Rattus norvegicus: one gene and its partners. The protein of the gene in region 6 interacts with the protein of the main gene of each other region in a biochemical or structural test. Links are inferred from orthologs where the notes say so. Each region holds a gene or a part of one and is shown on either strand. Other genes may lie near its edges.

Region 1 (4,187 bases), on a different chromosome or scaffold from region 6:
GACCAAGGCTTTTGGGATGGGAATATCTTCACACTATATAAACTAGTTTTGGGGCAAAGATTGTGGGATCCCTTCCTATTCTGCTAGTCCCCATCTCTAAAACTTTTTAGAGGGTGACCTGTTTTGGTTGTATTTTTAGATAGCCAGAAATGACAAGGGAATGTTGTCTTCTACTTTTTGTTGGATCTCATGTCCTTGTATTTGCACAGCTGGGGACTTTCAGACCATGATAAAAGTATTCTATATATGTATACCATCCCTTGCTAGAATACTTTTATCATGGTCTGAAAGTCCCCAGCTGTGTTGTCATTTGCTCCAGGGAGCCCTGATAGGTAGAAGTCCACCTACATTGGGCGCCTCTTTCTCTAGAAAGAGGGTCCATATCTTTTCTTCTGGGTCCATATCTAGCCTCCAGGCATCAATCAGGGTTCACCTGAAACAGCCTTTCTTTTATTCACTTTCTTCTTCTCTCCTCTTTTTCACGAGGAGGCTTCCTTAGTGATATCTTTCCCCTATCTTTCATTCTCCACATTGAAACTACAGTTTCCTTCTATCTATTTGTAAGAAGGCCCTACAGCTATCCTCTGGGATTCTGCTATAGGTATGCACCCCTCAGAGTGTGATCCTCTTGGAGGTGAGGCAGAGAAAAGTGGGTGTCCTCAGGACAGCTAGGGGCAGCTGAGTTTTGAGATTTTACTCTAGAGTCTCAGAAAAGAGGAAAATCAACACTTGTTCATAAAGGCCTTGCTTATTTTCACTCTCCAGAGAAAGCACTGGGCGAGCGACCTTCCAAAGTCTAAAGTACAGTGAGAGAAGAAACAAGCAAGCGAATGCCTGGGCCAGTGAAGAAAGAAATAAGAGGCACAGGGAAGAACTCAGACAATAAATAAGGGGATGAGGGAAATGAAGACAGCATGAACGAGAGGGTAGGAGCGACGTAGGGAGCAAGGAAGAAGCGAGAAGGAGGGGACAAGTGAAGCAATGAGTGAAGTAATGAATACGCGATGAGGAATAGAAGGAAATAATGCAGGGAGAAACGAAATGAATGAGAGAGGAGAGTGAGGGGAGGAAGGAGGCAATGAGGGAGAGGGTAAGTGATTAGGTGTGAAGAGACAAGCAAGCAAAGAAGCTATGAGAGAATGAGTGAGGGTAAGAATGAGGCAAGGAGGAAGGGAAAGAAGGGCATAAATTTGCACCTCCAAAAGGCACTTCTAGGGTGGCGTTTCCTGACCAGCGGTCCAACGACAGTGTAGCCCCAGTCCCGCTCTTCGGCCTCGCTCCGCCCCGCCCCGCAGCGATCCCCCTGTAGTCCACTTGCGCCTGCGCAGCATCACACGTGACGGTGAGGCTCCGCCCCCACCTCCAGCCTCCCGCCTCCCGCCTGCTGCGAGAGCGGCCACAGCTTGCGGCAGCACCAGGTCAGCTGCGAGGCATGAACCGTGTGGGCCTGGCAGGCCTTCGTCGCCGAGCTTGCGCTGCACGCGGGGATGGGAGAGGGAGCGGGGACAGCGGCGGACGCGGGGATACGGGCCAAGTATCACGGGCGCCTGGGGAGGGCGCGGGCGACTGCCTGACGTGGCGGGGGCCCGGCCGGGCGACCCTAGGGCGTCCGGCGCGGGCCTGGCGCCGTGGCGCGGGCTGGCGGAGGCCTGCGCGTGGCTGAGGCGGACCGTGGCCCTCGCAGCCCAGTCGACCACTCTCTATAGCCAGTCGTGGGTCCGAGTGTGGCCTCCGGCCTGTCCGGGTCCCTCGAAGCTATGGGAGCAGGGATTGCAACAGGCGGCAGGGCGGGCCTGGCTGCCGCTCCCGGCGTGACCTCAGGCTCTTCAGCCGCTGCTGCGGTTGTTGAGAGAAGCCGGAGAGCTCGCGCTGTCAGTGCAAAATCCCCGGGATGTACTAGTTTAGATCCTGTACAGGCCGAACGAACGGACCTGTCCGGGCGCAACGGGGCCACCTTCTACCCGCGGCAGCTTCCTAGGGTAAGGCCTGATCCCCGAAATGCTCCTAGTCAGTGCTCTAGGGAACTAGCCACAGAGCACGTCAGCACCTCTTGGAGACTCTCCGCGCCCCCCCCCCCCCCCGTGGAAATAAGGACCCACTCTTTCTCATTCCAAGCTGCTGGTTTTTCTTTTGTTGCACATGTTGCGTTGTGATACGGATAAGTTGAGGACAGATACTGAATGGGAGCCCCTACAGAAGATTAAGGATGCCTTTCTAGTAAATGTTCGTTGAAGATTCCTCTAAAATATGTTTCAGTGTATGGCTGTTTGGATAGGAAACCCAGATATCTTGACTAGGGGCCCTTAAATAAAGCGTGTTTACACGCGTGAGAAGCATGAAGTTATAAGCCGAAGCAAATGGAAAGTGAAGAGGAATATTGAAGATATGTAGTCACTAGAGTCTCCTTAATTTTTTGTCGTTAAAAAGAGTGAAGACAGGTGTGGTGACACCTGCCTTTAATCCCTGTACTCCGGAGGCAGAGGACGGCAGATCTCTGTGAGTTCGAGGCCAGCCTGATCAACAGAACTCCAGGACAGTGAAGGCTGTTACACAGGACACTTGAAAAAACAAGTGTCTGTATGTGCACCTGGGTGAAGGAGTGAAGGCTCTGGAGACCAGCAGAGAGCATCTCGACCGGATGTCAGTGCTGGGAACAAAACTCCAGTTCTCTGAACAAATAGTTTTGTGTTAAATGCACTGAGCCTTCTCTCTAACCCTACTTGTTCCTTATTTATTTATGACAAGTCTACATATTGTAGGCTGGCTTCCAACTTTGTGATCTTTTTGTATCAGCATTCCTGAGTGCTGGAGTTACAGATCTGTTACTATACCAGAGATCCTGGATGCTGTTGCACTCTTGGTTGTACTGAATTTCTTTTCTTGAGCTTAGTAAATGTGCTCTGCCTATCCAAAGGAGTAGCCATCCTGTTTTACTGTACTTGTTTTTGTGGTGGCTGTTTAGAGAGTAGATGATATTTCCAAGAGGGCAGGCAGGCTGCTCAGCTGACAGCAATGGAGACCACCCCAACATGTGCATTGCGGGGGGGGGGGGGGGGAGTCAGTGTCTGGTTTTTTTTTTTTTTTTTTTTTTGGAGCTGGGGACCGAACCCAGGGCCTTGCGCTTCCTAGGTAAGCGCTCTACCACTGAGCTAAATCCCCAGCCCCTAGTCAGTGTCTGTTAAGGCAATTAATCATCCACAGATGGGGAAGCCTTCCAGGACGCTGAGGTTTGAAGGTAGCAGCCAGAGTCTGGTTAGCAGATATTGCCATAGAAACTAACCTTGAGGTGCTTGGGAGACAAACTGTCAAGGGTAGAGAAGACTGGTTCCCTACCAGAGCATGTTTTTTGAGATTGTATGAAGGCTCTAGGTAGATGTGATCAACTAGATCATGGCCAGAATAGTACTATGAGAAACGAACATAGTTCTGTTAGAGGATTGCAGGTGTTCCTGTGGGTCTAAGAACTGGTAATGTGGCAGGCAGGAGAAGGAAGAAAGCCTTTGAGTATTAAGTGGGGAGATGGCACAGGGTAATGAGGCGAGAGTTAGGGAAATCCTTTGGAACAACATTTCTATGCTCTGACTCCAAACTGTGGCCATTGGAAAAAATAAGGGGATGGCTGTGCAAGATACAGGAGTAGAATCAAGACCAAAGGATCTTACAAAACATAAGCTTAAGAAGGAAAAGAGATCATGGAGATTAGGAGGTTTCAGGTAGAAATGGAGCATGCAACTGACAAAAACAGACCAATTAGGAGGGATTCTGGCTGGAGATGCCATTGGGAATGCATGTCCTGGGGAATGGATGGATTGAAGGAAAGGAAGAAGTCAGGAGAGGAGGAATTACTTTACAGCAGAGTTCCAGGCTGGAGAGATCCTAACCCAGAAACAGTTGCCAAGACATAAGCTCTAACCATCTCTAGGGCCTTGTGAGAAGGCATCTGGTTCAGGTAGAATGAAGGTGTGGGTAAGCCAATAGAGCCCCAGCATCCAGGGGATGGAAGAGAAGGAGGCACGGTGATGGGAGGCAGGAGAGACTTGAGAGCACGTGGGTCCTGAAGAGGAGGTGAGGGTGGGGAGAAATGTGCTCCTTCAGTAAGAAGGCTTTTGGGCTAGATTTGATTTCCCTTGACATCTATTTTTCATTTTAAAATACACATATTTGAGGGCTGGCAAAATGGTTCAGTA
Region 2 (4,188 bases), on a different chromosome or scaffold from region 6:
CAAAAGGTAGAGTATAACTGTTTTTACCCATTGCTTCGTTCCACAAAAACCCAGGCAGCACCTCCCCCTCCTCTGCTCACAGCAGCAGCAGTTGTGTCTTGTGCATAAACAGAGAAAGTTACTCCAAAGCTCCAGTCTTTTTTTTTTTTTTTTTTTTTTTTTGGTTCTTTTTTTTCGGAGCTGGGGACCGAACCCAGGGCCTTGTGCTTCCTAGGTAAGCGCTCTACCACTGAGCTAAATCCCCAGCCCTCAAAGCTCCAGTCTTAACCCCTGCACTGGTAGCCTAAGTCAGAGAGCAAGGGGTAGCATTACTCAGGGCCTGATGTCATCTGAGTGGCTGTGAGGGCATAAAGGAGACAGATGGAAAATCAAAACCTCAAGGGAAAACTCTGGCTTAGTGGAACATGCTGTTTGCCTAGCACTAGGGAGGCTGAGGCAAGAGGATGGATGTCTGCAGATTGAAGCCAGTAAAAGTAAGTTTGCAAGACGGACTCAAAAAAGTGAAAGGTAAAAGAGGAGGAAGGGGTATGGCAGAAGCCTGAAGGAAGGACCCAGTAGATTCTGGGTCACTCCAAGGGCTGAGTCTACCTGGGTTACACAGCTGATCTAGCATAGGAGAAGAGCTGGATGTTACCCATGAAGGAAGGGCTTTTCATAGTCCTACTGAGAACAAATGACAAGCATAACTAAGCAGAGGGGCAGGTATAGGGGTGTGTGTGTGTAAAAGAGTTTCACTATGGGGGCTGGATAGATGGCCCGGAGATTAACAGCACCATCTGCTCCTCTATTGGACTGGAGTTCAATTTCCAGTACCCATGTGGAGGCTCACAACTGTCTCTTCAGGCTTCTTGGTGGGCACTGCATGCATATGGAATACACATGCAAGCCTAATACCCATACATGTATTTTTTAAAAAAGTGTACGTAGCCCAGGACAACCATGAACCAGATCTCCTCCTGCTTCTGCCTAAGTGCTGGAAATACAGCTGTGTGCCACCACACCCAGTTAGAGACAAGTTTATGCTAGAGGTCACAACCCCACCCTAGGAATGGAGCAGCCCAAAGCCTCTGGGGATAAATCCAACTAAAACCTTTGTCAGGTCACCTTCCCTGAACCTCAGCTTTCTCATCTGTAGACTGGGACAAGAGAATAAGGACATCAGAGCATAAAGGCTTATAACTTTAGTCCCAGTGCGTGAGAGGCTGAAGCACAAGGATCATGAGTTGGAAGCAAGCTTGGGCTACACAGCAAGACTTTACCTCTGTGTGATGTAATCCCAGCAGAACACCAGAGGTTCAAGGTCATCCTTGGATAAGTATCGTCTGAGCGCTCATGCTCGCTCTTGCGCACTCTTTCTTTCTTTCTTTCTCTCTCTCTCTCTCTCTCTCTCTCTCTCTCTCTCTCTCTCTCTCTCTCTCACACACACACAAACACACACATCTTAGAAAGGAAAATGGCTCAATGGGTAAGTGCTTGCAGCCAAATCTGACGGAGTTCACAATCTACTCATGGTAGAAGGAAGAAAACTCTTGCAAGTTAAGATTGTCTGACCTTCACATGCACATACATTAAATACAGTATTACTAATATTATTAGTAAAGATTGTTTCAATAAATAAATTGGGCAAAGTGGTGCATGCCTGTAATCTCAGCACTTGGGGGAGCTGAAGCAGGGGGATCAGGAATTCAAGAGTAACCTGTCTTTATGAGGCTCTGTCTAATGCCTTTCCACATCCACTCTTGATAAAAAGGTGGAAAGTGAATGACATTAAACCTAGCTGGGTTCAGAGAGTTAACATATGCAGTGTCCAGAACCTTGATGCTTAATAACTAAGAATTTTGAGTGAGCTCTGTAGGTTGCATTGACCCTGGCTACCTGAAATGCTTGTAGGCTACTCTAGGCGTTGCCACTGACACTGGGAAGGGGACATTTGAGATCAAAAAAAAAAAAAAATCATTGCAATCTAGGGCATTCCCAGTGACTGAACTGCATTATCAGATGAGTTCTTTCCATGTCTGGCCTCAGTTTCTCCCTCTTGAAATATGAGAGCAATTCCTTTCTTGAAAGATGGTAGCAACCGGGGTGTGGGGGGGAGGAGAGCATGAACCAAGAAAAGAGAGGGAGCGAGGGAGGAGGGAGAGGGAGATGGAGGAACAGAGGTGGAGGTGGGGATAGGAGGAAGAGGAAGAGTGGAGAGGTGGGTGGGAGAGAGAGGGAGGGGTGGAAGGAGAGAGTGAGAGAAGGCAGGAGGGAGAGGGGGAGGGGAAGCGGGAGCACACACCGGCGTAGACTTGTAAAAGAACTGAAGTCTTTCAAAGAGTTTGGCACCATGCTTGACCCAGAGACGAACTGTCCTGGTTAGGAGCCATCACTGTCCCTGGGTCCCGATAGGGGGATGAGCGGGCACGTGTCTCGGATGCTGCCCGAGAAACCAGAGCAGGGCGGCCCACGCCCTCTGCACCGAATCCCGATCTTCCTCTCAAGGGAACTCCGAGGTGCAGACTCGTCGCCTCAGAGCACCGGGGCCCAGTGGTGGGCGAGAACCGGGGCGCGCCTGTGCCTGCCCCACCTCCTACCTCAGTATCTGGCTTTCCGGGCCCGTTATGCCGCGGAGGAGGCCAGATCTCCATGCCCGAAGCAGGACGGTGATGCGACTCGCCTGTGCAGGCGAGCTCAAGCCCAACTTCCGCAACCTCCAGGCCTCGCCCCGGGCCCTGGGCGACCCCTAAGAGGTACCTGAGCTGCGACTCATACGCTTCTCCCACCCGGACGGCAGCTTCTCCTCGTCCGCCATCTTCCCTCCTGCCGCAGCGCCTGCTCCGCCTCCGCGGCTCTGACCCCGCGCCAGACCAGCGCCGCTGTTGATTGGCTCATCCAATCGAGACGCCAATTGGACGGCAGCACAACGCCTCGAGCTCTCGAGCCTTTTATTGGGCTCTCCCGCGGCCTCCTGGACCACCCCTACACACACCCTCCACCCACTACCCTCACCTTCCCAACACCGCTACTGATTGGCTCGTCTGGAAGCTACGTCTATTGGATGCTCCAACCCGGCAAGCGGCTCCCTTTAAGCGTCAAAAGGGCGCTCCACCCTTTTTGGTGCGCTTAGCCGATAAAATAGTGCTTATTTGACTGGCTCCTGCGGCAGCCAATCCGGCCTTCTCAAGCCTTTCTCGGAGGTCCGCCAGAATCCACGCGGAAGTGGCCAGCTGGAACTAAGGTACATGGGTGCTTTTGCTGTACTTTGCCGTTGCCATAGCAATGCAGTTGCCTTGGTGACAAAAGGCTAACTATTCAGAGCCTAAATTTGGCTTTTGAGTTCTTCTTCCCACCTTTTCCTCCAGATGTCCAAAGCGAAACCAGTCCTTTTCGGTTTTTGCAAGGCGAACCATTTCACTGGTTTATTCACCCACTTTCCATGTCTTTTTTAGAACCTACTTCGACTTATTCCTTCTCCATGGGCTCCTCCTGACTTCTAGGCAGGTGACTGATGGGTGAGAGCATTACCACTAGACCGAGGAAAGGGGGTAGGAGAGGGTGGGCGGCTCCAACGACCGGTTTTAGTCAACTGGTAGTCTGAGGAAAACGGTGTGTTAATGTATACCTTCAATCCTAGTACTCAGGAGGCAAAGGCAGGCAGTTCTGAGTTCGAGACCAGCCTGCTCTACAAAGTGAATTTCAGCACAGCTAAGGCTACACAGGAAACTTGTCTCAACAAACGAATGAACGAATCAAAAAAAAAAAAAAAAAAAAAAGACAGCTAGAGAGATGGCTCAGTGGTTAAAGCACTAGCTGCCCTTCCATTAGACCTTTCAATTCACCAGACCTGCATGTGGTACACATTCATACATACATGCAGGCAATTCATATATATAAGAATTTTAAAATGTTACTTTATGCCTAGTGCTGGTGGCAAACGCCTTTAATCCTACACTTAGGAGGCAGAGGCAATCAGATCTCTGAGCTTGAGGCCAGCCTGGTGTACAAAGTGAGTTCCAGGACAGCCAGAGCTACACAGAGAATCCCTGTTTCAAGAATTTTTAAAAAATCACTTTAAAAAACTATTACATTTATAAGGGATACCGCCATGAAAGCTGTGTAATCAAGAGGACAATTTGTGGCAATCTGTTCTCTCCTTCCACCATGGGGTTCTGAAGGTCAAACTAAAGTTGTCAGGCTTGGTGGCAA
Region 3 (3,500 bases), about 13 Mb from region 6:
AATAAATGACATAGGTAGGTAGTACAGCCCTCTACTCTTTACTGGTTTAAATCAGTTTCTTATTTATAGACAGGGTCTTGCTAGGTAGCTCAGTCTGGTCTATAACTTGCTGTGTAGACCAGGCTGGCCTTGAACTCACTGATATCTGCCAGTCCCTACCTCCAGAGGGATTAAAGATTTGTGTAAAATGGCTTGGTTCTTGTTCTACTCTCAGCTCCCCCATTTCACTTAACAAATGTACATTGGCCTTACTTGCCCCATCCTCTCAGAAAAAGAAACTTGACAATCTATCCTGAGAAAGTGAACAAAAATTGGTTGCTGAGGTTGATAGGTTAAAAGAAAATTTAAATTGTGTTTTCCCCCAGTGCTGAGAATTGAACCTGGGATCTATACATGTTCAGCTAGCTAGCATTGCCTCCTGTCCTAATAAGTTGTCTGGGCTAGGTAACCTTAAACTCAGTTTGTAGCCTAACCTGGGTTCAGATTTGTGGTCCTCCTACCTTAGCCTCCCAAAAGCCGGGATTATGTGCCTAATCACTAGGCCTGGCAATTAAATTTTATTTTCTGGGCTGGAGAGATGGCTCAGTGGTTAAGAGCACCGTCTGCTCTTCCAGAGGTCCTGAGTTCAATTCCCAGCAACCACATGGTGGCTCACAACCATCTGTAAAGAGATCTGATGCCCTTGTCTGTACCTCGTGTGTATCTGAAGACAGTTACAGTGGACTTATATATAATAAATGAATAAATCTTTAAAAAAATTATTTTCTATAATTGCAGATGCATTTCATACAAAAACAATAAATAAAAGTTGATATCCCAAGAAAGTTGAAGCGAGAGATTGATTCTATTAAATACCATGTTCTGGGTGTGGACTGTAGAGAGATGAGAAAGTAAAATGTTTGATGATTGCTGTCTCCATTAGGTGGGAGTTTAGCTGACGCTGTAAGTGAGAACTACAGAGTCATGAGCTACTTTACTGAAGCAGAGCTGAAGGATCTCCTTTTGCAAGTTGGCAGGGGCTTGAGATACATACATTCAATGTCTTTGGTTCACATGGATATAAAACCTAGTAAGTAAGCTTTGGCTGTGTTGTTTGTGACTTGGATATAGGAAATAAAGGACTTCATTGTAACAATGTGAAAGCCTCTTACTACTGTTCATTGATTACTAAGTAGTGTTTTAAGTCTTTCATAGTTGGTCTGTTTACATTGGTATCTGTTTCAGGACTATGCTCCACATCTGGTTATATCATTACCCTTTTCAGGTGTTATCCTGCTACTTTTTCTTTTCTTTAATATCTTATGTTTATTGGTGTGTGCCTGCATATCTATCTATCTATCTATCTATCTATCTATCTATCTATCTATCTATCCATCTATCCATCCATCCATCCATCCATCCATCCATCCATCCATCCATCCATCCATCCTGCTGTGTGAGGATGTCAGAAGCCCTGAAACTGGAGTTACAGGCAGATGTAAGCTGCCATGTGGGCACTGGGAATTGAACCCTAGTCCTTTGGAAGCCAGTGCTCTTAACTGCTGAGCCATTTCTCCTGCCCCTCTACTTCTTTTTTATTAGTTATAAGGACACTGTAGCTGTCTTCCTGACATACCCAAAGAGGGCATCAGATCTCATTACAGATCTAGAAGAGCAGTCAGTGCTCTTAACCACTGAGCCATCGCTCTAGCCTGCAGCCTGCTTTTAATAAGGGTTCAACCTCTCCTCTTCTCCACCACTCAGCAGAAGTAGTAGAAGACAAAAGTTATTAGGCTAAAGGAGAAATCGACTAGTACAGCAATAGTTCTTTGAGGGGCGGGGGAGGGGCAAGCTTGATCTTCTTTTTCAGCAATTCAGTCCCTTAGCAAACACCAAATATGGCTCAGCGGGTGCAGACCAGTCCACTAGGCAGGCAGACCCCAGGCATGAACTGGCAGCTACAGTCCATTTCTTTTAGCAGGCAGACCCTGAAGCTGCCGCAGGAACCTCACAAGCAGTTCTTGGTGAGTTACCACAGGTTGTGAGCTCAACAATGCTATGCAAGGCAATCAATACACGTGTCGTTAATGCCAAAGTCTCCCACTATTTGTGGGGTCATATTTATACTCCATCACAGGTCCTTCTATGTGTTTGCTATATCAAAACATTCTTTTACCTGTGTCTGCTTCAGGAAAACATTCTTTCAGGTGTTTACTTTATCAAGCATCCTTTCACTTGCCAGCAAAACATTTGACATAACTAACTTTCCAAAGAACTAGAAGTTTCCACTTCAGCCTTGTTTGTTAAATATAGTTATTATTATTCAACAGGTAATATTTTTATATCTCGAACCTCAATCCCAAATGCAGTCTCTGAAGAAGGAGATGAAGATGACTGGATATCCAACAAAGTTATGTTTAAAATAGGTAAAACTATTTTGTTAACTATTAGGGATAACTGTTAAAATTAAGAAGGGTTGGCGTGGGGGTTGGGGATTTAGCTCAGTGGTAGAGCGCTTGCCTAGGAAGCGCAAGGCACTGGGTTCGGTCCCCAGCTCCGAAAAAAAAAGAACCAAAAAAAAAAAAAAAGGGTTGGTGTGGGGCTGGAGAGATGGCTCAGCGGTTAAGAGCACTGACTGTTCTTCCAGAGGTCCTGAGTTCAAATCCCAGCAACCACATGGTGGCTCACAACCATCCATAATGGGATCCGATGTCCCTTCAGGTGTGTCTGAAGACAGCAACAGTGTACTTACATACATGGAATAAATAAAATAAATCTTTAAGAAGGGTTGGTGTTAGGGGTGGGTGTGTGCATAGGTGTAGTGGGCATGATGGGAAAGACTATGCCACAGCGTGTGTAGATGTTAGAGGACAGGCTTGAGTATTCTCATATTCCCCCTTGTTCCAAGGTGGGGTCTTTTGCTGTGTACTGCTTTGGATACCCAGGATAGGTAGCCTGTGAACCTCTGAAATTTTTGTCTCTAGCTCCCATCTTGATGTTGTTCTGGGTTTGCAAACATGTGTTCCTATGTTGGCTTTTACATGGGTTCTGGGGATATGAATGGTGGTCCTTAGTCTTGTGAGGCAAGCATTTTATCCACTGAGACATTTCCATAGTCTCATGTAAGTGCACCACTGGATACTTGGTCCCCAAAGAAGCCAGGAGAAGCATCAGATCCCCGGGAACTCAGTAACAAGTAGTTGCGAGCTACTGTGTGGATGCTGGGAACAGAACTTTGGTCTTTAGTGAGAGCGTCAAGAGCTCTTGTCTGTGAGCCATCATCTCTCCAGCCCATGTTTATCTACTTTGGGACAGGATTTTCTGTATCCTAGGTATACATTATCCCAGGTCTGCTTCCTTGAGCTTGTTGTGTAGCCCAGAAAGCTGAGGATTCTGCCTCGACTTTGAATCCTAGGATTATGGACCTGTGTTGTCATAGTTATAGTTGGTTTATATGGCTATAGATAACAAGACAGGGCTTTGTGCATGATAGATAAGTTGTCTACTAACTGAGCTTCTGT
Region 4 (4,004 bases), on a different chromosome or scaffold from region 6:
CTATTCGGCAAGTTTGAATGAGGTTGAAGTGGGTTGCAACTAAAAAAATTTTTTAAAGCAAATCAACAGAGAAAACTACAGTACATGCATATATACTGTTTTTATCAAGTTTCTTTTTTTTTTTAAAACATAGGTAGCTACACAAATATCTTTATGGGCCAACACAGTTTCACTGATCATTGAAAACTAATAAAAAGTACTTTTTTTTTAAAGGATACTATTGCTGCTCCAACAGATTGAACTGATTCCATGCGGTGACGTGTGGGGGTTGAATTTATCCACCAATGTCAGAAACGAAGCATCCCATATTTTAACATCATCTCCTGATGAGGCAAATCTGAGGTTTTCCTGCATGGCTGAGCCTATAAAAAGTTTAGAACAACGTATTTAAAACGCAGTTAGGGAAAAGCAAATTTTAAAAGCTGAAATGTGCCTGATCTAAAGGCAAGGGGTGTTACTTGTCCTTTTCTGTCAAACAGCATGCACAGTAGTATAAGATGATTTAAACAACAGCCAATCACATACGCTTAGCTCATCCTTCCTAGAATCCCCTCGGCAACCTCCATAAACCCAACCTCCTCCGCCTGCCTTACAGGACAGGAATGCCTGCATGGCTCTCCTACCTCTCTTGCCTGAGGCCGCCAGATCTGACACTGGCTTTCTTCATGTCTATGAACCAAGCCAAGCTCATCCTCGTCTTAGTGTCTCTGCACCTGCTGCCCTACTCTACCTGGAAAGCCACCCCCTACGTCCCCCCCCCCCAAACCATCTCCTAATCATTCGGTCCTCAGTTCAAAACTCTCTGCTTCTAAAAGGTGGGCTCCCCAGGGACTGCGGCAAAAACAGCCCTTTATCAGTGCTACTCTTATTCAATATGCTACCCGATTCAATTTCATTAGCAGAACTTCTGTTGTCTTCATTGTTCCCATAACGATGCCTGCCTCCTCATGAAATATTCCTGACCCATACTAAGTACTTCGCAGAGAAATCTACTAAGTGATGTTCTCATGTATTTTTTTTAATGTATGAGCCTGCCTAGAAGTCTGAATCCTGTTGTGCCAAGTTTTCCAAACTCTAAAATTAACAACAAAGGAAGCTGCCACTGCATATCCTAATACCAAGTCTTGGTCCGGGGCCTCAGTTTTATGCAGTGTGACGTTCCAACACATACATCTGACAAGAGTGATGCCAAAGCCAAAGTAGTCTAGACAGAAAGCAGAGAGGCTGCTCCAAGAACTCTGAAGGGAGGGCAGCAGGTACTGTGGAGGACAGAGTACTTAAACATACACAGGAGAGAAGAAGGCAGAGAAAGATATTCCCACACCCTGGAGGGGTGGTACAAGAGCCTGTTATTATAAGACTGGCAGTGGTGGTGGTGCAGGCCTTTAATCCCAGAAAGAGGCAGGTGGACCTGTGAGTTTGAGGCCAACCCAGTCTGTGGAGCTGGTTCCAGCCAGCCAGGGGCTACACAGAAAAAAATCCTGTCTCAGAAACAAAACAAACAAGCAAGCAAGCAAAAAAAAAAAAAAAAAAAAAAAGTACTATAGTATTATCCAATTAAACTGTTGATAATACAATTTATCCTATTGCCTATGTCTAAAAAACTAATTAGTATACAACGAGTTTGAATGAAGTGAGTTGCAACCAATCTTTATATATACATAAAATCAATGGATAAAGCCAAGGCGCAAGCAGATGTACTATTTTTTAATGTATGTTCCTGTGTGTGTGTCTGTGTGTTTAAATATATTTTTATAGGTCAACAGTTTCATTGATACTTGAAGTCTAATAAAAAGTGGTTACTTTCTTTTAAAATGGGATGTTCCTGTTGCTCCAGCATACTGAACTGATGCCATGTGGTGACATATGGGGGCTGAATTTATCCACCAATGTTACAGGCCAACAGCGGTCACAGACACGCCCCTATATTATCAACAATGCACCACACATATCTCTAATGGGTTCCAGAGGACAAACTAAAAAGGTACCATAGATTCTCAGGAGGGAAAAACAAAAAACAAAAAAACCTAAAGTTTAAGGAAAGGATAAAACGTTTAGCCAGAAACTCCTATGATTTGTTGTTCATATTTTGGGATACAGTCGTGTGGTGGTTCCATGTTAGAACGGCCCCTAGTAGGTGCTGCTAAAAAACGTGTAGAGTCACCTGTTGAGTTGTAGACAATGTTTCTATTTGGTGACTGAAGCATGTACACTATGCCTCTTGTTCCCGGACTCACGGAAAAACACAGGGTAGAAAAGTCGAACTCTTAAGAGCAGTAAACACAACTGCAAGATGTTGCTACCATAACCCAGTGTGGTGCAATGGGTGGATCAAGGTTCCCCCGAAAGCTGAGTTAAGCGACCCACACAGCTTCAGTGATGCTGACTTCACAAAGTCGTCTCAGTTCCCTCGCTTGGCTTCTGGGATCTGACATCAGTCCCCCGAGACGATCCCGTGAAAGAAGAGCGACAGCGACCAACTGCACACTCTGCTAAAGAAGAGTTCTCTGGGGTCGCACCCCTAGCCCAGGGCGGCTGCGCTACGCAGGAGAGTCAGACCCGAGTGTCGGGGTGAGCGAGCAGCCCGGGATAGCTCGGCCCGTAGGTCCCGGGCCCGCGACCTGGTCCTATCCCGTCCCGGGCCACTCACCACCGCGCGCGCCCGCAGCCGCCCAGCGCAGGACGGAGGACGCTGACTTCGGGGTCCCCCGCCTAGGGCTGCGGTGCTTGCTCACAGAGACCCCCTGTCAGGCGGAACCTCACCTCTCAAGCGTGGGACCACAGGGGGGCCCGGCTCCACCCGCTCTTTCGCTGCGCTTCCGGCTCCCGCCTGGACTGTTAAACTTAGGCGGCCGGAAGTCCCGCCTCACATGACGTCACGGAGAGGCGGTGCCGCGGGCGCTCCACCAGCGCTTGCTGGGTGGCAGCCCACGCCGGGGTGGTGCAAAGAAGTTTTCCTAACCTGTAGCTACTACTCCTTTGTCGCTCATTTGTTTGTTGTCTACTGTGTGCCAGGCACCTAGTTAGGCTGTGGGTGTGCACTGCTGGGTTTAGCTTGAAGGGACAAGAGATCAGTCAATATGCAGGTCTCTGGCCTGATGGAGATTACAGTCTAGTGTAGGAAATTAGTATTAACAATTCTATAGAGAAAGGGAAGACAAAAGACGGGGGAGTTCGAGACGAATGCTGGCTACTCTCAGTTCCCACAAAAAGGTGTCACAGTTTTATCACAAGAACACTCTTAATAAAGGCAGTTAACATGGATGTTGGTTTAAGAGAGGATATATAGAAGAGGGAGCCATGGAAAACCATGGATTAAACATCTGATTTAAAAGAGGTGTAGTGGTACGTGTCTTTAATCCCAACACTCCCGGGAGGCATTGGGATCTATGTGGGTTTGAAGCCATCCTGGTCTACAGAATGAGTTCCAGGCAGTTATACAGAGAAACCCAGTTTCAAAAAAGAAAGAGGGGAAGACATGGGGGAGGGAAGTGGGGTAGGAGTGGGAGAAGGAAAGGAAGGGAGGCGGGAGAAAGGGAGGGGAGGGAAGCGGAGGAGAGGAGAGGATCATCTAACCCAAAACGAACCCTAACTCTGAGAATAAACCCAACGGTGACGTAAGCCTCTGAGCTAGCCGTCTTCAAATGCCAAACGTCACATGCTGCGATCAGTTACATGAACACCAGCTCAGTGGTTATTCTTTTGAGGGAATTTGTCTCATGGTAGAAAGGGGCCGATGAACTGAGTTTTCCAAAAGTCTTGCTAAAAGGTTGCTCCGTTGACAGTGTTCACAATGTTTACAGTGTTGACAGTGATTACTTCCATCACTGATAGGGGGTTTCTATGGAAAATGTCACTCCTTGGTCCCAGGTGTACACAGGATGTGTTTCTGAACTGCATACATAATGTCCCGATCACCTAAACTCATATCACAAGCAACTGGAAACCTAAGATATGCCAATCCCCACTCTCAGGAGAAAAGGAAGTTCTCTATCCAGCCTCTG
Region 5 (4,083 bases), on a different chromosome or scaffold from region 6:
TACTTATTGATTTCAAAATTCTACTCATTCTTTATGATCTAGCTAAACTAAAGAACTCATCAAGACATTCATCAGATATGTATTATTTCTCTATTGTATATATTAAATTAATACATTGAAACAAAAATAATACATTTAAGTTTGAGTTTTTCATGACAAAATCCCAGAAGAGTTAAAGTATGGGCCACGGAACTTACATGTGACCAAATAAAAATCAGCTGTAGCGAGACAAATGTAGAGTGGGTATTATAACTTTATCATTAAATGTAACATGACTGAGCAAGTTGTACATATAGTGTCTTCATTTCCTAAATGTTGATAATGAGAAAAAAAAGCAACTTCAAGTTGTTTTGCAAAAAGATGACAAGATAATGATTATTATGTAGTTAGTGGCTGTTACGCATAGCATTAAAAAGATAAAAGTTTGTATCTGTAATTACTATTATGACTATCATAACTGAAGAAAAAGGTAACTGATTGCTAAGTAAATACATTTACATGCCTATTTTCAATAAAAGAACAGAAAGAAAGGAGAAAGAAAGAGAGAGAGAGAGAGAGAGAAAGAAAGAGAGAGAGAGAGAAATGTACACAAAAAGAGACAGAGAGAGACACACACAGAGAGAAATACCTTTTTTGGTGTTTGTAGACCTCTGAGGCCTTATTATTTAAGCCAAGAATTTGATTTATTCTAAGCCCGTTTTACAAACTTTTCTCTTTTTACAGATTCATAGTTTTATCTTTTATACAAACCTTAAAGATTCCTTTTCTGACTTGTTCTAATACTATGTAAAACGCAGTCCCCTGTGTACTGAATATTAGTTGAATGTATTTAAATTTTCCCAAATCTGGTGAATGTGAGCAATCAAAAAGTATGCTACTCATGACCAGTCTATCTTAGCATTATGGAGTTCTTAGTGCTCAGGTGGAGATGAAATCTTGGCCTCTCTAAAGCTTTGTGAATTTTGATGTCTCTATATCATTGCCACATAGGTGAGGTTAAAGCCCCCCACTAGGCTGGGGAGAGTGCTGAGGACTGTGTACTAGGCTGGAGAGACGTCCAGTTATTGGACAATTTCCTTTCCTGGACAAGTTCCTTCACCAGCTTCTGAATTGCTGCCTTGTTTAATGTCCCCCAGAATTTCTTGGGAAAGAAAATAGAAAGAAACCATTTTCTAATCATGTGGACTTCTTGGAATTAAGGGACTTTTGAATATCTTACGAACCACAAATTAGCATGTCATTAAGTATGGTATATATACAGTCACAGAGTCTGATAGACCATCATCCTCTGAGCTTCATCTTCTCTCTTGTCCTCCGCTAAAGGTAAGAACTTCAGACGTAAGTTTGAAATATTATTTTCATTATTTATTTCAAACCCATACTAGACTATGTTATAGAAAGAAGAGATTTACTTAAAATATAGCTTTCTGAAAATAGATATTTTAAAAAACTGTGAGATTATTTTCAAGGACAGGCTTTTGAAAGTCAGAAATGCCTAGAAAAATTTGGTACAAATTATAATGACCCTGGCTTCATAAAATTGGGTAAATGTAGTAAAAATATATAAAGCCAGTGACTACTATAAAGGAGAGACTAAGAATTATCTCCTACACAAGCTATCTTATTTGATTTGATGTATTTTACTAGTGTAATGCACTCAAATTATATCATGGAAAATAGATACTTATGGCATAGCTGTTGGAAGAAGCAAACTGCATGTTTATAAGCAAGAAAATTGTAATCATAAAACTTTTCCAGGGGCTTGGAATTCTTGATCTAGTTCATAGTATTACAAGAAATATTAGAAACCATGTAAAAAATAGAAACAAAGTCTTCTATTTTCTTTTTTATTGGGTATTTTATTTATTTACATTGCAAATGTTATCCCCTTTCCTGGTTTCCCCTCCAGGACCCCCCTATTCCATTCCTTCCCAGCCTGATTCTATGAGAGTGTTCCCCCACACAACTACCCACCCCTTTCCTCCTCCCCTCCTTGGCATTCCCCTACACTAGGGCATAAAGCCTTCTCAGGACCAAGGGCCTCTTCTCCCATTGATGCCAGTCAAAGCCATCCTCTGCTATATATGCAGCTGGAGTCATGGGTCCCTCCATGTGTACTCTTTGATTGGTGGTTTAGTTCCTGGGAGCTCTGGGGGGTCTGGTTGGTTGATATTGTTGTTCTTCCTATGGGGTTGTAAACCCCTTCAGCTCCTTCAGTCTTTATCAGAACTCACTTAGAACTAGTGATCATTGAAGTAAGATGAGTTGAAAGAACTGTAGCTTAGAACATACCACATAACAGTGAAGTTCTGGTTTAAAATTGGTGTATAAAATGCCAAGGTTTAAATACAAGAACTGCAGTGGTATTCTCCCCACATTTAAAATACACAAAGACACAACTTTCTTTTAATCTAGGATGATTGGATTATGTGGAAACCCATGGAGGAAGCTTCAGACAAAGTGTTGATAATGAATAATACAACATACATCAGAAAAACAAACAAAAAACCAAACCCACTTCTTTTCACTAATGGGATAGTTTTCCACCTTCAAGTATTGGAAAGAATGCTTTATAAATATATTTAAATTTTTATTTTTTCATGCTGTGATAATTCACAAGCAACAAAACAGTTAATACACTTTGTCTACTAATTCATTCTAGATGTGAATGTGAGACTCCATAGAACTGAGATATTAATATTTTGTTCATTGTCTGGCCACCTGTAAGTGCTCAGGAGTTTAAAATGAATGACTTGTGGAATGTTTGGCTAGTTATGCATTCTCCATAGCTTTTGTAAGGCATCCATGCAACTGTTAGCAAAGGAAAGTTAAAAAAGAAAAGAATGGCAGGAGCTGTGAACTGACGAACGCTGATGATGGCCGCAGCTGACGTCTGAGTGTAGGGCTTAGTAATAGGAGTATTTAAGAACCAGAGCAGATTCTGATTTGTTGCTGACTAATCTGTTTCTAATTCTTCTCTTCATTCACAGGACTTGACAGCCATGAAGGTCTTCATCCTTGCCTGCCTTGTGGCACTTGCTCTTGCAAGGGAGGTGTGTAGAGAAGCTTCCTAAGTAATTAAGATGTAGAGATGAGTCTGCTCACTTATACACAATAACAGCAGTGATAGCTTTTAATGTGCAATCAATGGAGAGTTTGGGATAGCTTTATTTAGTCACCGCTTGTTTGAGAATCACCCAGGGTCTCAAAGTTCCTGTAGGCTCTCCAAGCTGAAATAAGTGCTTACTGCACTATTGTGTGACAAATTCTCTAACAACAACAAAAGCAGAAATAAGAATTGAAGCAAGGCGATAGAAATACATCAAATAAACATGACTTCACAAAAGTAGACTCACATGTGCAGCTTGAGTATCTCAGTCTGATGATAAAGTGCATGCACCTCTTTAGATGAGCAGATCAAGTCTTACTGTGCCTGTCCAAAGAGATATTTAGAGGAGGAAATACAATCCAGAATTGTGGCCATGCTCTGAGTAGAGTCATAGGCATAATAAGAAAGTGTTTAGTGGAAAGCAAAGTAACTTTTGCCAGCCGTCAAAGTTTATGTACACCTTTATGTAATATAATAATGTACCTATAAAAACTTATTAAAATATCAAAGAGATTGTAAATATAAGTTTTCAAGATTATGAAAGCCATATATCAATTTTTTTATTTCTGAAAGAGATAAAAAGACATGCAAATCAAGCAGAAAGTATGTTTAATAACAGGGTTGATATAGTAACATAATGTTTTTAATTGTTTGCTTTTACAGAAGGATGCATTCACTGTGTCCTCTGAGGTAAGAGTTTTTATTGAGACAAATTTCCAACTCTAAGATTACTACATTTTTAATGATCTTGAAGTCCTAATTGGATCTATAATTTAACATATATATGTATGTATTTTTTTGTTTACAGACTGGTAGTATTTCCAGTGAGGTAAGGCAATTGTCTCTCAGAGGCAGCAAATTGCCATCTTTCTGTTGAGTTATATTGTGTTGCTCACACCCATATGCTTCTTAAGTAAATACCCTTTACATGATATTAGGAGGAGAAAAATATTTTCTCCTCATGAAGGATAGCG
Region 6 (3,500 bases):
CTCACAGTAGTCAAGGATGACTTTGAACTTGTGTTCCTTCTGCCTCTATATCCTGAGTACTAGGATTACGGTCAAGGATGGGCCACCATTCCTAGTTTATGAGCAGTTGAAAATCTAATTCATGCTAGTCATGCCCTCTATTAATCAAGTTTTCACTGAGTCCAGCTCCCTTTTCTTGTTCTCCTTTCCTATAGTGCTGAGCCTGTGGATTCCTATCTTACTGGGTGGTGGTGGTTAAAATACTGCTGTTTTATACAGGAAAGTAGTAAAAGAGTCTGTTCTGTAAACTGTTCTCAAGCTCTCCCGAAGGCAGAGAACTGTGTTATCTGGCCCTGGGGTATTCATTCCTCCTTCATTACCAGCAGTTAGATTTGGGCAGGCTTGATTTTACATATTCCATAAACACTCGTTTTTGCTAGGTTTTGTTTTTTAACTGTGTATATGTGTTTTGTTGCATGTATGTATGTCTGTGCACCACGTGCATATTTGGTGAGCACAGAGGCCAGAAGATGGTATCAGATCCCCTGGGACTGGAGTTACACATGATTGTGAGCCTCCATGTGGGTTCTGGGAACCAAACCCAGGTCTTTGGCAAGAGTAGCAAGTGTTCTTAACTGCTGAGCCATCTTTCCAACCCCTTTTTGGCTAGTTTTAAAATCAAATCCTGAATATTTTATTTCACCCTTAAGTTCTTAATGCACCATAGGGTTTATTTTTTAGTTCTCCTGGTTTGGGGAAACAAACCAGTCAAATGTAAAGCTAGCCCCTGGCCACTGTAGACCAACTTAATGCTTCAGTGTGCATCTCATTAGACTCCAGCCATTTGTAAACACACAAAGCAAGGGGTTATAGTAGAAATAAAGCTGCTGAGGCTTTATTTAAAAGGAGTCCATCCTGCAATACACTGACCCATCCTTCCACCTTCCTGGGTGCTCCAAGTGCCCTCCACTCTGTGTTTGGATTGGTGCAGCTTTGAGTCACTGGTACCTTCAGGTTGCCTCCCTGAGTGACAGCAGCAGCTGCTGTCCTGGAAAGCCAGGTTGTTGGGTCACAGACCTGAAGCTTGTCACCCTCTCAGTATGCACCACATACCTGTCACTCAGACGGGTGCTGTGTTCCCACATGGGTGATAGTTAGAGTGCTCTGGGAAGAGTGCTCGTTCTGTGTCTGCCAGGTGACTGAGTTAACCTTCTCAGGTGTGGAGAACCCCCTGCCTGACCGTCCCCGAGAGAAAGAGGAACCAGTGGTTCGGGAGACAAATGAGGCCATCGAGTGCCACCTTAGTGACTTGCTACAGCAGCTGACCAGTGTCAACGCCTCCAAGCCCTCAGAGCGAGGGCTGGTGCGGCAAGGTGAGTGCTACAGGGGTCTGCACATCTGGGGAAGGCAGGGCATCTTGGCCAGCAGAGCACTCAGGCCCACATGACCTTTGCTCTGTCCATTTCTTATAGATCAAAATCTAGGTGAGTTAGTCTGACACCCACGGGCCCCTTAGTGTTCTTTCTGCCCACTTTTCTGCTCCATCTCATCTTGTAGGTGGCTGATTGATAGGCCATCTCTGTATAGCTGCACATACTGCTCAGGGAATTAATCCCTCCAGAGACTCAGATCAGCTCCAGACTCAGGGCTTTTGTACCCAGTGTCACTGCCCTGACACCTGCTGCCATTACTTCCAAACCTGACTTAGTTCTCTATAGCATTTCTTCCCAGCAAGCACATTCGTGTCTTTGCAGCAGGGACTCGTACAGTGAGCTGTTCTAGGATTGCAGGCAGGGGTTGCCGGGTCAACTGTTTCTCCTCGCTTTAATCTGGGGCACTAGGCCTTCTACCATTCCCGGTGCAGATGATGGAGCAGCCTGGAGGCTTTGAACATTCTTCATCCCTGTGGTTGGAATGTGGGCTCTTCCAGAAGCTTGCTTCTTCTTTTCCTGTCCGAACCTACAAAGCTCATGGGTCGCAGTAGGCCTAGAGTAAAGGGGCTCACTCAATAAAGTGGGCCTTGGCATCCTGAGCTGCAGTTTTCCAATTGGGTGTCGGGCTTGTGCTGTCAGGCTCCTCCTCCAGCTTCATGGGTGCCTAGAGTCCTCCCCTGGGGAGGGCTACATGAGAGGAAAGGGAAGGGACTGACCTCACCTGTGTTCTGTTTCTATTCCAGAGGAGGCCGAGGATCCTGCTTGCATCCCTATCTTCTGGGTCAGCAAATGGGTAGACTATTCGGACAAGTATGGCCTTGGTAGGTGCCCCGGAATGTGGAATGGGCAGGGGATGGTGTGACTGTGGTAGCCTCTGAGAGGGGGAGGGGGGATGAGAATTGCGGGCCTTCTGCATGATAGGCAAGCATTGTACTACTGAGTTATTCCAAGGCCTTTGCCTGCCTCCTGCCTTTCTGAGATAGCCTTCCACTTGCCACCAGGTTATCAGCTATGTGACAACAGTGTGGGAGTGCTCTTTAATGACTCAACACGCCTCATCCTCTACAATGACGGGGACAGCCTGCAGTACATAGAGCGTGATGGCACGGAGTCCTACCTCACTGTGAGCTCCCACCCCAACTCCTTGATGAAGAAGGTGAGTTCGGGCTGCCAAGGGGTAGCATGGCAGGGTATGAGGCTGCCTCAGGGTCAGGCCCTCATGCTGAAATCCCTCCCCCAACTTTTCAAACTAGATCACTCTCCTCAACTATTTCCGCAATTACATGAGTGAACACCTGTTGAAGGCAGGGGCCAACATCACGCCCCGGGAAGGCGACGAGCTGGCCCGGCTGCCCTACCTACGAACATGGTTCCGCACACGCAGCGCCATCATCCTGCACCTCAGCAATGGCACAGTACAGATTAATTTCTTCCAGGTGTGCAGGCGGAGGGGCCTGTACTTGGGCTGGCAATGTTGTCTCTTTCACCAGTGGGGTGCCTTCCTCACTTTTGCCCCTCCCCTTGGGCACCAGTTGAGCTCTTCTCTTGCTCCCTCCTTCCCTCCTAGGACCACACCAAACTTATCCTGTGCCCCCTGATGGCAGCAGTGACCTACATCAACGAGAAGAGGGACTTCCGGACATACCGCCTGAGCCTTCTGGAGGAATATGGCTGCTGCAAGGAACTGGCTAGCCGCCTCCGCTATGCCCGCACCATGGTAGACAAGCTGCTGAGCTCGCGTTCCGCCTGCAACCGCCTCAAGGCCTCCTAGGTCTCCGTCCTTCGGACTGGTGCCCCTTCATTCTGCTAGCGCTCTGCTAGCTCTGGGCCTGCACTACTGGGCTCCTGGGGCCGCTGTTCAGTGCCCCTGGCCCTGGGGGCTGGCAGGGAGCAGTGCCCCCTGTGAAGGGGTTGCTGTGTGTAAGTTATTTTGTACATGATTGGGTGTGGGTTTGCAGCCTGTTCCCTGCCCTCGGCCCACTGTATGAACTGTATAAATATTTCTATTGAATTTGGGACTGCCCTTTCCTTAGCTTTATATATATTAAATATTTGTACATCTCTCTCTTTTTTTGGTCCTATATTTCT
Region 7 (2,954 bases), on a different chromosome or scaffold from region 6:
TCCTCGGCGAGAGTTCAGCGCCATTCCGGGTTCCACGAGGCCCTCTCTCAACCCCTCTAATCGGTGTGCACCAGCTTGGACGTTCCATCAGTGTTTCAGAGTTACATGTATTCCATCCAGCGTGATGGAATTCCCAGGGTTTAGTCCTGCTTTGGGTGTGTTAGCGTGTTTTATTGATTTGGTTTCATTTTTGATTCTTTCCTTCGGAGCTGGGGACCGAACCCAGGGCCTTGCGCTTCCTAGGCAAGCGCTCTACCACTGAGCTAAATCCCCAACCCTGGTTTCATTTTTGAAAAATGTTATGTGTGGTGCACATGCCATGGTGCATTGGTGGAGCCCGAGGACAACTTGGGGGAATTGGTTTTCTCCTCCCACGATGTGTGTGGGTCTCAGGGACCGTCGTGCCTTTGCCTGGGAGCCGTCTCACTGGGTCTGATTCTGGTGTGACTTTGCCATTTCTGCTACCATTTGAGTGGAATGGTTTTATCCCCACCAAATAGACCTATTAAAAGTGTCTTTTTAAGGAAAGTGTCTTGTTTTTTGTAGTATATGTAAAAGTCAAATGTTCAGATGTCAGAAGTGTGAGGTTTGGAGTTTGGGAATTGTCTGAATCAGGAAGTGAGTGTCAGCTGTTCATTGAGTAGTTGCCTGGATGGTTCAGAAGACTCAGGAGCCAGTTACCACAAAAGGGCAAAAATGGCCTGTGAGCTGCTACACGTCTAACTTTCAGAGGCTAGTCAGCTAAAACCATCCCTCGTCAAAGGTACTTTCTTTATTTTTCCAAATTCACTTAAAAATATGTCTCAATTTTATTTCAAGTGAGCTTATTGGGGCCTGTGACCACTCCTGAATTCCAGCTTGTCAAGACTCCTTCATCAAATTCCCTGTCACAGAGATTGTACAACCTCTCCAAGAGCACACCCAGGTATGCAGAACTTCTCAGGGGTATGTGTGCACATACTCGTGTGTGTGTGTGTGTGTGTGTGTGTGTGTGTGCGCGCGTGCGCGTGTGCGTGTCTGTGCGTGTGTGCATGTCTGTGTGTGTGCGAGTGTGCGTGCGTGCGTCTCTCTGTGTGTGTGTCTCTGTGTGTGTGTCTGTGTCTGTCTCTGTGTGTGTGTGTGTGTGCGCGTGTGTGTGTGTGTCTCTGTGTGTGTATGTGTGCGTGAGTATGTGTGTGTCTGTGTGTCTCTGTGTGTGTGTGTGTCTCTGTGTGTGTGTCTCTGTGTGTGTGTGTGTCTGTGTGTGTGTGTCTCTGTGTGTGTGTGTCTGTCTGTGTGTGTCTCTGTGTGTGTGTCTGTGTCTGTGTGTGTGTGTGTGTGTGTGTGTGTGTGTGTGTGTGTGTACTCCTGCATGAGTTGCAGCAGCATGCTGGGGTAGAGCATACCTTGTAAGAATCAACTCTCTCCTACCGTGTAGTTCCTAGGAGTTGATTCAGGTCTTCAGGTTTGGGGACAGTAGTTTATTGAAGGTGTATTGGTGTATATGCCTGCAGTCCTCCAACAGTTCTAGCATTTGGGAGACTGAGACAGGAGAATCACCAGGAGTGCAAGGCCAGCCGGGGCCTTATCTAAAGAAGTAAATGAAAAGAATAACTGAAGTAGAAGTGGAAACCTCAGATGAAGGGCTCTGCGGTGACCCTGGGACCCACCCTGCTGGGTCAGTAACACCTTACCGAATAGCTCCCTAGGCAGTTCCCATGCTTAGTTTTATATCAAGTAACATAATTGTTATTCAGTATTTTTTATAGAATGTTTTTTAAAGAATGTGTACTTACCTGCATGTGTGATGCCTGCACTGGAGCACCCACCTGGAGAACAACCTTTAGAGTTAGTTCTTTCCTTCCTCCTTTGTGGGCTGTAGGGATGGATCTCAACTTGTCCGGGTTCGCAGTAATCACCTCTTTGTGGTGTCACTCACCAGCCTGTAGAGCACTTTTCTCAGCCGTTCTCTCTAATTTATTTTTAGATTTGGGAACAAGAGCAAGTCTGCCACCAACTTAGGTCAACAGGGCAAATTTTTCCCTGCTCCGTACCTCAAGTAAAGCTGTTTCTGCCTACTGTCTGCCTACTGCAGGAGACACACCTGTTCGCTCCTCAGCTCCTGTGTAATTACTACTTTTAGCATTTTCCAGGCTTTAAATAAAGTTTAATGTATATGAGAGTTTGATTATTACATAGCTCCCTCTCACCTGGTGACCTAGCACCTCGTAGAGTTGTTGGGAGCTTTAAAATGGAGCTTTCTGCAGGGTAGAAGGACAACGGGAATCGACTATGGCTCTTCTGGGGGGGGAGGGGGATCTCTTAGGCTTAAAGCCAGATACAGCTCGTGAAATGACTGGTCCTGTGGTGTCTCTTAGACAGTGACAGAAACTGTGCCTCTTAGGTAAACCTGAATTATCTCGGGACAAGAGGTTTTGGGACAAGATAAAGAACTACACAGAGGCCACAGGATGGCCCCTTCTCAGAAGCCAGGTCCTCTTCTCCTTCAGGGAGTGACACATGGCCGGGAGCCCTCTGCGGCGGGTAGGCCGAGGCACTGATCTGAGGATACTCACTTCTAACTGGGTTAAGTCTGAGTTGTAGAAAGTGCTAGAGGCTATGATCCCACGTGGCGTGTAGTCTCTAGTCAGCCTCAACCTGGACTTTGTTTGCAGTTGATTGGGGTCAAAGCCAGATTGGTTTAAAGCCTGATTCATTCTGACGACTGACCCCTTGTCCTTTGTCCAGTGGAGCCTATTTAAAAAGCCAGCTAATAGTTCAGAAGATTGTCTATTTTCATACAGCGAGAACGTTAGTTGCTTCTGTCTTTGCACTTTAGGTGGTGAGCTTTTTCCAGACATGTGTATGTAAGCATTGGTTTTTTGGTTAGCATTTTCCAGTGTCTAAAATGGCTTCCTTCCCTGGGATGTTTTCTGATACTCATACTAACCCTTATCTGTAAGACATGTATTTGG

What was found.
Region 1: the proteins of Plk1 (region 6) and Klhl22 form a complex in vitro, tested with the Homo sapiens proteins (2 studies listed by BioGRID, with this or other methods). The link is inferred for Rattus norvegicus from reciprocal best matches to the Homo sapiens genes PLK1 and KLHL22.
Region 2: the proteins of Plk1 (region 6) and Pin1 form a complex in vitro, tested with the Homo sapiens proteins (3 studies listed by BioGRID, with this or other methods). The link is inferred for Rattus norvegicus from reciprocal best matches to the Homo sapiens genes PLK1 and PIN1.
Region 3: the proteins of Plk1 (region 6) and Wee1 form a complex in vitro, tested with the Homo sapiens proteins (2 studies listed by BioGRID, with this or other methods). The link is inferred for Rattus norvegicus from reciprocal best matches to the Homo sapiens genes PLK1 and WEE1.
Region 4: the proteins of Plk1 (region 6) and Nedd1 form a complex in vitro, tested with the Homo sapiens proteins (2 studies listed by BioGRID). The link is inferred for Rattus norvegicus from reciprocal best matches to the Homo sapiens genes PLK1 and NEDD1.
Region 5: of the proteins of Plk1 (region 6) and Csn2, one has a biochemical effect on the other in vitro, tested with the Homo sapiens proteins (3 studies listed by BioGRID). The link is inferred for Rattus norvegicus from reciprocal best matches to the Homo sapiens genes PLK1 and CSN2.
Region 7: of the proteins of Plk1 (region 6) and Racgap1, one has a biochemical effect on the other in vitro, tested with the Homo sapiens proteins (3 studies listed by BioGRID and IntAct, with this or other methods). The link is inferred for Rattus norvegicus from reciprocal best matches to the Homo sapiens genes PLK1 and RACGAP1.

Annotation. Positions count from the first base shown.
Region 1 is NC_086029.1:96,733,216-96,737,402, reverse strand, and holds the start of Klhl22 (kelch-like protein 22), read left to right. Parts: upstream 1-1,387; 5' UTR 1,388-1,418; intron 1,419-1,523; exon of another isoform or gene 1,524-1,757; coding exon of another isoform or gene 1,758-1,979; intron 1,980-4,187. UniProt on the Homo sapiens protein: Substrate-specific adapter of a BCR (BTB-CUL3-RBX1) E3 ubiquitin ligase complex required for chromosome alignment and localization of PLK1 at kinetochores.
Region 2 is NC_086026.1:27,464,254-27,468,441, reverse strand, and holds the start of Pin1 (peptidyl-prolyl cis-trans isomerase NIMA-interacting 1), read right to left. Parts: upstream 2,801-4,188; 5' UTR 2,795-2,800; coding exon 2,737-2,794; intron 1-2,736. UniProt on the Homo sapiens protein: Peptidyl-prolyl cis/trans isomerase (PPIase) that binds to and isomerizes specific phosphorylated Ser/Thr-Pro (pSer/Thr-Pro) motifs.
Region 3 is NC_086019.1:173,616,041-173,619,540, forward strand, and holds part of Wee1 (wee1-like protein kinase), read left to right. Parts: intron 1-922; coding exon 923-1,069; intron 1,070-2,309; coding exon 2,310-2,405; intron 2,406-3,500. UniProt on the Homo sapiens protein: Acts as a negative regulator of entry into mitosis (G2 to M transition) by protecting the nucleus from cytoplasmically activated cyclin B1-complexed CDK1 before the onset of mitosis by mediating phosphorylation of CDK1 on 'Tyr-15'.
Region 4 is NC_086025.1:29,158,835-29,162,838, forward strand, and holds the start of Nedd1 (protein NEDD1), read right to left. Parts: upstream 2,801-4,004; 5' UTR 2,764-2,800; exon of another isoform or gene 2,651-2,763; intron 363-2,650; 5' UTR 355-362; coding exon 219-354; intron 1-218. UniProt on the Homo sapiens protein: Required for mitosis progression. Promotes the nucleation of microtubules from the spindle.
Region 5 is NC_086032.1:20,600,541-20,604,623, forward strand, and holds the start of Csn2 (beta-casein precursor), read left to right. Parts: upstream 1-1,283; 5' UTR 1,284-1,323; intron 1,324-2,990; 5' UTR 2,991-3,002; coding exon 3,003-3,053; intron 3,054-3,772; coding exon 3,773-3,799; intron 3,800-3,917; coding exon 3,918-3,938; intron 3,939-4,083. UniProt on the Homo sapiens protein: Important role in determination of the surface properties of the casein micelles.
Region 6 is NC_086019.1:186,154,158-186,157,657, forward strand, and holds the end of Plk1 (serine/threonine-protein kinase PLK1), read left to right. Parts: exon of another isoform or gene 1-1,196; coding exon 1,197-1,352; exon of another isoform or gene 1,353-2,155; coding exon 2,156-2,233; exon of another isoform or gene 2,234-2,413; coding exon 2,414-2,568; exon of another isoform or gene 2,569-2,665; coding exon 2,666-2,848; exon of another isoform or gene 2,849-2,979; coding exon 2,980-3,183; 3' UTR 3,184-3,480; downstream 3,481-3,500. UniProt on the Homo sapiens protein: Serine/threonine-protein kinase that performs several important functions throughout M phase of the cell cycle, including the regulation of centrosome maturation and spindle assembly, the removal of cohesins from chromosome arms, the inactivation of anaphase-promoting complex/cyclosome (APC/C) inhibitors, and the regulation of mitotic exit and cytokinesis.
Region 7 is NC_086025.1:132,629,831-132,632,784, reverse strand, and holds the end of Racgap1 (rac GTPase-activating protein 1), read left to right. Parts: intron 1-819; coding exon 820-925; intron 926-1,966; coding exon 1,967-2,042; 3' UTR 2,043-2,454; downstream 2,455-2,954.